Oryzias latipes: one gene and its partner. The protein of the gene in region 2 binds, or shares a complex with, the protein of the main gene of each other region. Links are inferred from orthologs where the notes say so. Each region holds a gene or a part of one and is shown on either strand. Other genes may lie near its edges. The genes, in order: lsm10 and lsm11.

Region 1 (4,217 bases), on a different chromosome or scaffold from region 2:
TTTTCTTCAATGATTTGTGATCTTCACTGGTGTCCATGGATTACATGAAATCCTCTTCACCTTCATCCACCTTTGTCATGGTAGGGAGAACACGTCAATGTAAGGGTGGGGTCATCTAAGATAGCACAAGGGCTAGAGCACAGAGCCTCGAGGGTTTTCCAACCAACCTGCCATTGAAGCTCCTTATTGGCTGAACACACCTGATCCAGGTAAATCAGCAAAAGACGAGCCCTTTGAGACCCTGATGCTCCTGTAATAGAGGTTTGATAAAATGTCTTCATTCTTTGGATTAAAAATATAATCTACAACCTGTTTGGAGCTGAGGACAATAGCTGGAGCCTCCTGGAGAGAAGCTCTTTTTGTCATTGGGACTTAAGTAACTGAGGACATCTGCTAGAAAGTCCCGAACTGAGAAATGTTTCAGTGTTGATGGTGCTTTTGGGTCCAAACCAGAAAATAAATGAATTATCTACTACTTTCTGAGTACCCAACAGATGTTTTGATTATTTCTCTGCCACAGTGTTTAACAAGCTGCAAGTAAATATAGGAAAAAACAAGAAAAATGAAAGTTTTTTTATTATAACTGCATCAACTACAAGTGTTATTTTACAGAAATATCCCCTTTTTTCACAGCTACGAAGCTGCTTCTCCAACCAAAGAAAATTTTCGCCCCCTGCAGGCGGAAAACTGAAATTGCAGTTGAGCAAGAAAATCACAAACATGTATTCAGTCAGGTCACTTTATTCACACCTTAAAGTTTTAGCTATATTTTTATTAAATAAAAAAAATGCATAAAATTGCTTCAAATGGCTTTAATTTTACACAAAAATTTTAAAGGAAAAGTTTTTACGGCAACTAAGATGGGTCAAAACAATCAAATCCATTCTGTTTTAGGATGGCTGGAGCTAAATAAGAAAAGGACTACGATTATATTTGTATTCATTTCCAGCAAAAATAAATGTTAACATGATAAACATGTCATCCTTCAAACTCAATTGTCCAAATGTTTATATTTACATGAATATTTATTTTTTAAGTTTACTTTTTTTCCCCAACAGATCAGGAACAAAACAACTTTATTTTAAGGCTGAAAGTGTTTTAAAAAAATCTGCATATTTCATTAATTTGTCCATTATTTCAACATTTTGTAGTGAAATCTGTTTTTGAAGACAGTCTCCACGTCAGTTGGAGGGGTTACCCTCAGGGTGGGGTTAGGCTGAAGCTCCAGAAATTTCCATCAAATTGTCATTTTTTCCTCCCGCCAAACTCCTTCCTGCCCCCGCCTTCGCCGGCGAAGTTGCGTACCCGGTGGATCTTGGCCAGCTGGCTCTCCATGGTCTTCATGATGTCCACGTGGTCGGGGATGTGCACGTAGCGCACGTTTCTGCCGGTGATGAACAGGTCCTGCAGCTGGGCGGTCTGCCCCCGCCGGTCCAGGAAGAGCACATCCTTCAGACGGATGTTCATGAAGGCGTCCACATTGAGCACGAGCCCCCGAGCTGAGCTCTCGTCCCTCAGGTCCACCGTGGTCACCTCCCCCTGCAGCCCCTGCAGCAGGACCACCATGCTGTTCTCCGCGATCGTCCGCTCGCGGATGGAGTTCACCACCTCCACCCCCACTGTGGCGGACTCGACCGCCTCAGGTTCCATGGAGTCTAGGAGCGGAGGACGGAGCAGTGGGGGGCTTTAAGTGTGACACCAGGGACCCCCCCTCCGCAGGAAAAAACACAACCAGTCAAAACAACAAGTTTCATTATTACATTTTATCTGAGTTCAGCCTCCAGAAGTTTTTCTTTGACATCAGAACTTATATTTTTGGAGTTTTTAAAGCTTTTGACCCGAGATGATTCTGCCTGACCTTGCTCCAACATTCAGCACCAGAATTCTCTCAGGTTAAAGTTTAAGGTCATGGATATGGATTTCCTCTCAATATTAAAAAGTGCACAAACCGAGAAAAACACTGATCTTTTCTCTCAAAAGTCTTTGTAATCTCTATTTGATTTGATCAGGAGTCTGGGTCATGATCCTGCATTTGTGTATTTTGTCTACAATGTTTTACATTGTATAACTATAGGACAAACTAATAAATACATTTCCCAGCAGACAACATCTACTCTGGAGCCTCCATCTAAATCAAGCAGAGTATTATTTCCCATAAATCTTTGCGGGACATTTTGATGTTAGAGAAAAACACCTTTTTTTAAACATGCTCGATTGTAGCTGACTTGCTTCCTTATATGAAGAACATTTTAAAAAAAATGATGGAATATATTAGATCTCAGAACCATTTGGAACTCCGTGAAACAGCCCAGGATCAGCTGTCAGCGCGGAAAAGTAAACATTACGACCAAAGACAAAAGCTTATTATTTGTCAGCAAAGTCGAACAGTTCCCATTTAAATCTTTTTTAAGGTTAAATATGGCAGCTGCTGCATTTGAACATCTAATTATCAGTTAGCTTGAATAGCAAAGCACCAGAGGAATTAAAGTCACTCAAGACATTTAAACGAGAAAATACAAAACACACAGAGTTAGCCATTAGCTTTAGCTAAACGAAGCTCCGTAACTCTTCCATTATGAAGCGAAAGTTGCCAAAACATTTACCAAAATATGCCGGACATGAGTCTAGTGTAACTCTGGTTTGATATTCTTCCGATAAATGTTGTTGGAACCAGCAATCTCGCAGACTCTGCCCCACGTCACTTTAAAAGTTGATTTCCCGCATTCAGGTCGACGTATTATACGTACTGACGTCAGAACCTCGCAGCCAATGAATGAGCAGCCTTTTTTTTAGAATGAAAGCTTTATTTAAAACGGTCACAACACCCGACCATTAGATTTGATTTTTGTTAGATGTACTAACAATAACATACGTCAGCTGTCAATAAAAGAAGAAAATTAGGAAATTAATTAATCCTCTTTAAACTTTAACAATGTTTTAATATGGATTGTTTTTATGGCTTTTTTTATTATTGTTTATTGGATTGTGTGTGGTGAATGCAAGGACCTGGACGCTTTTTAATTTCCTTTTCAATAAATAAAGCTTCTTCTTCTTGTTCTTTTTCTTCTAAATATGTTTGTGATTCTCAGCTATCAAGATCATGTTATCACCGAATTCTGTTTTTAAGGCATTTGGGACTTTATAAGGTGATCTGAGAGGTTTACAACAATTTAATAGGATATAATATTCTTTTCTAACAATAACAAAAACTCAATGTATTGAAAAATACTGTAGAAAAAACGTACTTCATTTACCCTTTTAATTTTTAAAATTCTGTATCTGAGTTTATCTGACTCTGGATTTAATAAAATATAAACATAAGAAGATTCTTTAATCTAACCCTGAATATTTGAATTGTTACTGAAATGCCTGAGGTAAAATTCCATAATAATTTACTTTTGGTAAAATTTAATGAACTATTTGATACGTCTTTTTTAAATCATAGCTTTGAATAATCAATCTGATGTGTAATTTTTAACATTGATTTTCTAGTAAAACTGATCTGGGATGACGTATCACATACAAGCATTATAAAAGTTAAGATCACCGTTGTTCAAGTATTTATCGAGATAGTTCGTTTAAAGTAAAAGTGGTTCCAAAACAGATCCTTGAGGAACACATGGAGAGCTATACAGATGAATAAACCATTTGAGATTATCCTGAATGATCCTAATCCCAACAAAAATGCCTCATTTTCATGATTGTCCTCCTTGATCTTTCATGCAGATTTATTATGTTACAGATTTAATCAAAGTCCCAGTTTAAAAAAATACTATAATAATAATAATAATAATAATACTTTAAAACTTTATTAAAACATGCCAACTGGAAATTCAATCTGTTAATAATCCTCATGTTAACTTTACATCTCACAGATAGACTGACTGATGAAACTGAGATAGAGACAGATACAAAGCTGCCCTGAATGTGTACTGCATCTTTGTTATTGTAACAGGATAAAATCACAGGGGTCAGTCAGAGGTCATCCATCATGGCCAGCAGCTCGTCTCCTTTGCTGCTGCCTTGGTCTTCGTGCTTCAGCTCTTCCTCTGCAAACTGAGCGGCGATTCGAGCGAGCTCAGCAGATGCCTGTTCATCCTGAACGCACACACAAAAACACACACAAACACACACACACCAAAATGATCATATTAAAGATCAAACTGGTTAAATAAAATTAAACAATAAATTTACAAATTCAAATAAGTTGTCCAAAT
Region 2 (4,391 bases):
TGTGGGTTAACCAGGATAACATTCTCACCACGAATAAAAAGCTGGTTGATGTGGCGTGTGTAGACTTTCCCGTACTTTTGGGATTCCCCCTTCGGATGCATGTGCGGGTCCTTCGCCTTCAGTGAGACTTGGAGTTTACCCTGTTTGCTTTTAATAGCTTCTGGCAGGTCGGACTGGGATGTCGCGCCGTCACCCTCCATCTGAGCAAAGCAGCTTTCCGGGGCAGCTCTGGGATTTGCAGGTGGATGCTGGTCGGCTTTTTCCTGGACGTCAGTCCCGCCTGGGCTTTCCTGAAGATTCAGCTTCTCAAAGAGCTGGACAAAACACAGGCAGCAATATTCCTTTTAATGTTGAGCAAACAAGAATGAATGAGTGTGGCAAATGTGGTAATAAAACCCACCACTGTGACGGACAAAACCAGAAGTATACAGACACAAATATAGTATTTCCTCTTTAAATTAACATATAAACAACCAAAAAAAAAGATACAAATTCAAAGCTAAAAACTAACATGATCTTCCTGCAAATGGTCCTAAAGTGTTAGACATTCATTTCTGAACCATTACTTTTAAAATCTATCAAAAAACTATAAATTCCATAAATAGTTTTTATGGGATGTTTTACATGATTGTGATGAACAGGGCTGAGTAGAAACAACTAAGTTTATTACGGATTTTAAAAATGTCCTTTTAAAATATGTGTTTCTCTATGGAAAACAATTTTTGCAACATAAAACTTTGATTATAAAAAAAGAAATTTGGAAAAGCTTTATTCAAATATTACAGAAAAGGTCATTTTTCCGCCTTTTAATTACTTGAAAGGAAAAAGAAAGTCAACAGATTTGACAAATTTATAATGCATGATGTCAATAGTAATATTTATATCTATCTATATATATATATTTTTTTACTATCTTTCCCTTTTGTACTGCTGCAAAATATGAGTAAAACATGCGATGTGCGATATTGATGATCAATATTGTGATGGCAATATAAATGTGATGGCTATAAATACATGAACAAATTCCAAAAGAAACAGCAAATGCATCATTTCCATTTCATTGCAACAGTTCTATTTAAATAAAAGTCAACATAATTTATATTGTACTCCAAATGACCCAAGTTTACATACGAGGTAACATAATGGCAGTCTGTTTGATTAGTCAACGATGTCATGGGCCACATCCGATTTGTCAAAGGAATAAAGGGATTTGCTTGATTTTTTTAAATACTTTTAAGGTGCCATAAGGTTGTTTTAGTATTTGTGTAAACATTAAAGTTAATCATTTATCACAGTGTATGCTGTCTTTTGCGACACGTCTGTCGCACAGGCCGATATCACAAAACAATAATTTTAAATTTTATGTTGACGAAACTCAAAAATGTAATGTTCCCAAATGTGCATCCAGAGTTTTAGGAGGTTTAAGATCCTTCTATATGCTGCAAATATTTAAAGATGAACTCCAATCATCTTTAGATCTTTTTATGAAAGCGTTCCCAGTGGTCTTTTAATTATATGATTATGTCGTTTTAAGCCAAAATAAAATAAAATTTGTCTTTGAGTTCTGGGTTGGAATGTTGGCACAGAGTAAGTCTGGCCTTACTTCCCATGATCCCCCCCCTTTTTTTTAACACTCTCTCCCGTCAGCCCCTCACAACCCCAACCTAATGTTACCGGTGCAACAAAAATGGGAGCAACATCGCCGCACAGTTTTGAGCCGAATGCCAGCTCGAATGGGGAAATCAAAGACGTACGTCAGAATGGAGCAAGGACCTTGTGGCTTGCCGTAGTGACTTGTACGTCACACGTTCAAGCTTTTTCCAATTGCCTTTTTTCGTCTGCTCCTGTTTCATAGTAATTTGAATAAAGAAATACTCAAAAATGAGTGGATCTTTAAACCTCAACCTCCAAATGTTTTATTACACTTTTTACAGTGAGTAAGTAGTAATTGGTGCCCATAATTATGAAAATATTACTATTGTTTTTCCGTGAGTACAAACCCGTGAAATGGTGAGCGCCTTCTCGTGGTACAACGCCTCCCCGAACAGCGGCTCCCTGTACGTCTCATCCACATCCACCATAGCCTGTCGGGGAGAAATGACAACATAAACACTCCTGTCACAAATCCAAGAAGGTAACAAGAATGGAGAGAATTTCCCAACCATGTTCCAGAACTTGTCAAAGGCCACAAGAAAGCCAGAGCACACGCCCCTCATTCCTTTGAAGGTCCTGATGTGAACTTTGATTCTTATCCGCTCCTGGATGCAGCGATGCAGTTCACCCAAAGGACTCCCCTTGCACACTGAGAATGCAGAAGATGGAGCAATTACATAAAAACCAAACCCTTTTAAATGATGTTTTCCTAAAAAATATATGTTATATGTTTACTCCTCAAACTTTAAAAGTCTACAAAAGCTGTGTGTTGAACTCTCTGATCAGTTATAAACTGGGATATTATTATTAATTACCAACAATACTCAGGTTATTCTTCTTTAAGCTGATTGGTTAACTTATATGTATATGATATAGTGAACTACAGGCGTGTTTCTGAACCTACGGGGCATCCTGGTCAGGACATTTTTCAGAATCTTCTGCTTCCTCCTCGGTTTCGCGGTGCTACCCTCTCCTTCCTGCGAGGAGGAAACCATCAGCTTCCTCAGTCTGTCAATGCGCTCCGGATCCGCGACTCCTTTCAGCGCTTTTCGTCGCCTTTTCTCGACATTCTCCGGTTTTGCTCGACCCCGACCGCCTTTCAGAAAGCTCTCGTACTCGGCCACATTGTTGAAGCACTTGATGTTTGGGAAAGGAAGCGGCGGCGCAGTCGAAGAGTACAGGGCCAGAAGCGGATCAAAGTTGTCTGAGCAGACGTTTATTTTGTCCGCGGGGTCGCTGCTCTCGTTGTCTCGTCCCGTTGCGCCCTCAGCAGACGTTGCTTCAGTCACATTATGGTCTGGTTCAACGGATTTTCTTTCTCTTTCCTCCATATTTGAAACAACCGCAAAAGAGCGGATTTTGCAGAAGCAATGAATGCTGGGAAAACTCAAACTTAAAAAAAAAAACGTGTTCCCTCATTTAAACTTAACTGGCGTTCATCATTTATATTATTGACTGTTTATTTTCACATTTGACTTATTGCTTGATATTGAAATAAATACAATTTAAAAATAGAATCTGAAATAATTTTTCAACTACAAGTCCCACAACCTCCGGTGCTAAAAAAAAAAAAAAAGAAAGTTAAATTACAACAATTGAACACAAGATGTCACTAAAGAACAGGGAATTAAGGCGCATTGCTCTAATCGTAGACATCATGCTGAAATTAACTTAGAAAAAGTGGATTAATCAATTTACCGTTATAAAAATGTATTGTATGTAATCATACTTTTGTCATGTTGTATTTTCTTTTGGAACAATTTACTTTTTTTTTACATTAATGTATTCCTCCCCCTCCGGAACTATGTGTCACAGCTTATGGTTTACAACTACAACATTAATCGACGGACTGCACTCAAAACAACGTGAAGGAGGACCACAGAAATACGTCAAAGGCAGACAAGTATTTAAACATTAACCATTTAAATGGATTTGACGTCGATACAAGACGTTTATTTACTATAAAATATTTATCTCTACTCTTGTAATTTTTTTCTCTCGGGAATGCTTGATGTTGATTGGAAAACTTTGGAGTTTTAGTGGACCACGGTCCTATTTTGTTCCTTTTTTTCGTCACTTTTATAATTCTCCTAATATGGCTAAGAGCAAATTTGAGTATGTCCGCAGCTTTGAAACGGACGACACATGCCTACGGAACTGTTATATTGTTGTTAGGCTGGATGGTCGCAATTTCCACAAGTAAGTTTGTAGTTTATTCTGTACTGGTGTAAATGGCTGGTGATTTGTTGATATTTTCTGAACTTTGAACATTTTATTGTTTTGTTTTTTTCACCTTGTTTTAGGTTTTCAGAGCAACATGGTTTTACAAAACCCAATGATAACAGAGCTTTAGGGCTCATGACCAGGAGTGCACAGTCTGTCATGGAAGAATTGGAGGATATCATCATTGCTTATGGTCAAAGTGACGAGTTTAGCTTTGTTTTCAAGAGGACCTCCAATTGGTTTAAACGAAGAGCCAGGTAGTTTGCTCTCTTATAAAATTTTTCTACTTTATTATGCTCATTTAAGATGAAACTTATCTTCCTTTCTTGTTTTTTTTCTGGCAGCAAACTCATGACCCACGTGGCCTCCCAGTTCTCCTCCTCCTATGTCTTCTACTGGAAGGAGTATTTTGAAGAACAGCCCCTCCTTTACCCCCCAAGCTTCGACGGACGTGTGGTTCTTTACCCCACTAACCGTAACCTTAGAGACTACCTCAGCTGGAGGCAAGCGGACTG

The links.
Region 1: lsm11 (region 2) and lsm10 share a complex: the UniProt entries of both Homo sapiens proteins name them as parts of the heptameric ring U7 snRNP complex. The link is inferred for Oryzias latipes from reciprocal best matches to the Homo sapiens genes LSM11 and LSM10.

Annotation. Positions count from the first base shown.
Region 1 is NC_019869.2:19,827,391-19,831,607, reverse strand, and holds lsm10 (U7 snRNA-associated Sm-like protein LSm10), read right to left. Parts: upstream 2,780-4,217; 5' UTR 2,604-2,779; intron 1,712-2,603; 5' UTR 1,651-1,711; coding exon 1,246-1,650; 3' UTR 731-1,245; downstream 1-730. Other genes in the region: protein OSCP1-like, read right to left, coding at 3,976-4,098. UniProt on the Homo sapiens protein: Appears to function in the U7 snRNP complex that is involved in histone 3'-end processing. Increases U7 snRNA levels but not histone 3'-end pre-mRNA processing activity, when overexpressed. Required for cell cycle progression from G1 to S phases.
Region 2 is NC_019868.2:20,588,765-20,593,155, reverse strand, and holds the start of lsm11 (U7 snRNA-associated Sm-like protein LSm11), read right to left. Parts: upstream 3,083-4,391; 5' UTR 2,985-3,082; coding exon 2,558-2,984; intron 2,303-2,557; coding exon 2,163-2,302; intron 2,085-2,162; coding exon 2,001-2,084; intron 315-2,000; coding exon 1-314. Other genes in the region: thg1l (probable tRNA(His) guanylyltransferase), read left to right, coding at 3,665-3,852, 3,957-4,133, 4,221-4,390. UniProt on the Homo sapiens protein: Component of the U7 snRNP complex that is involved in the histone 3'-end pre-mRNA processing. Increases U7 snRNA levels but not histone 3'-end pre-mRNA processing activity, when overexpressed. Required for cell cycle progression from G1 to S phases.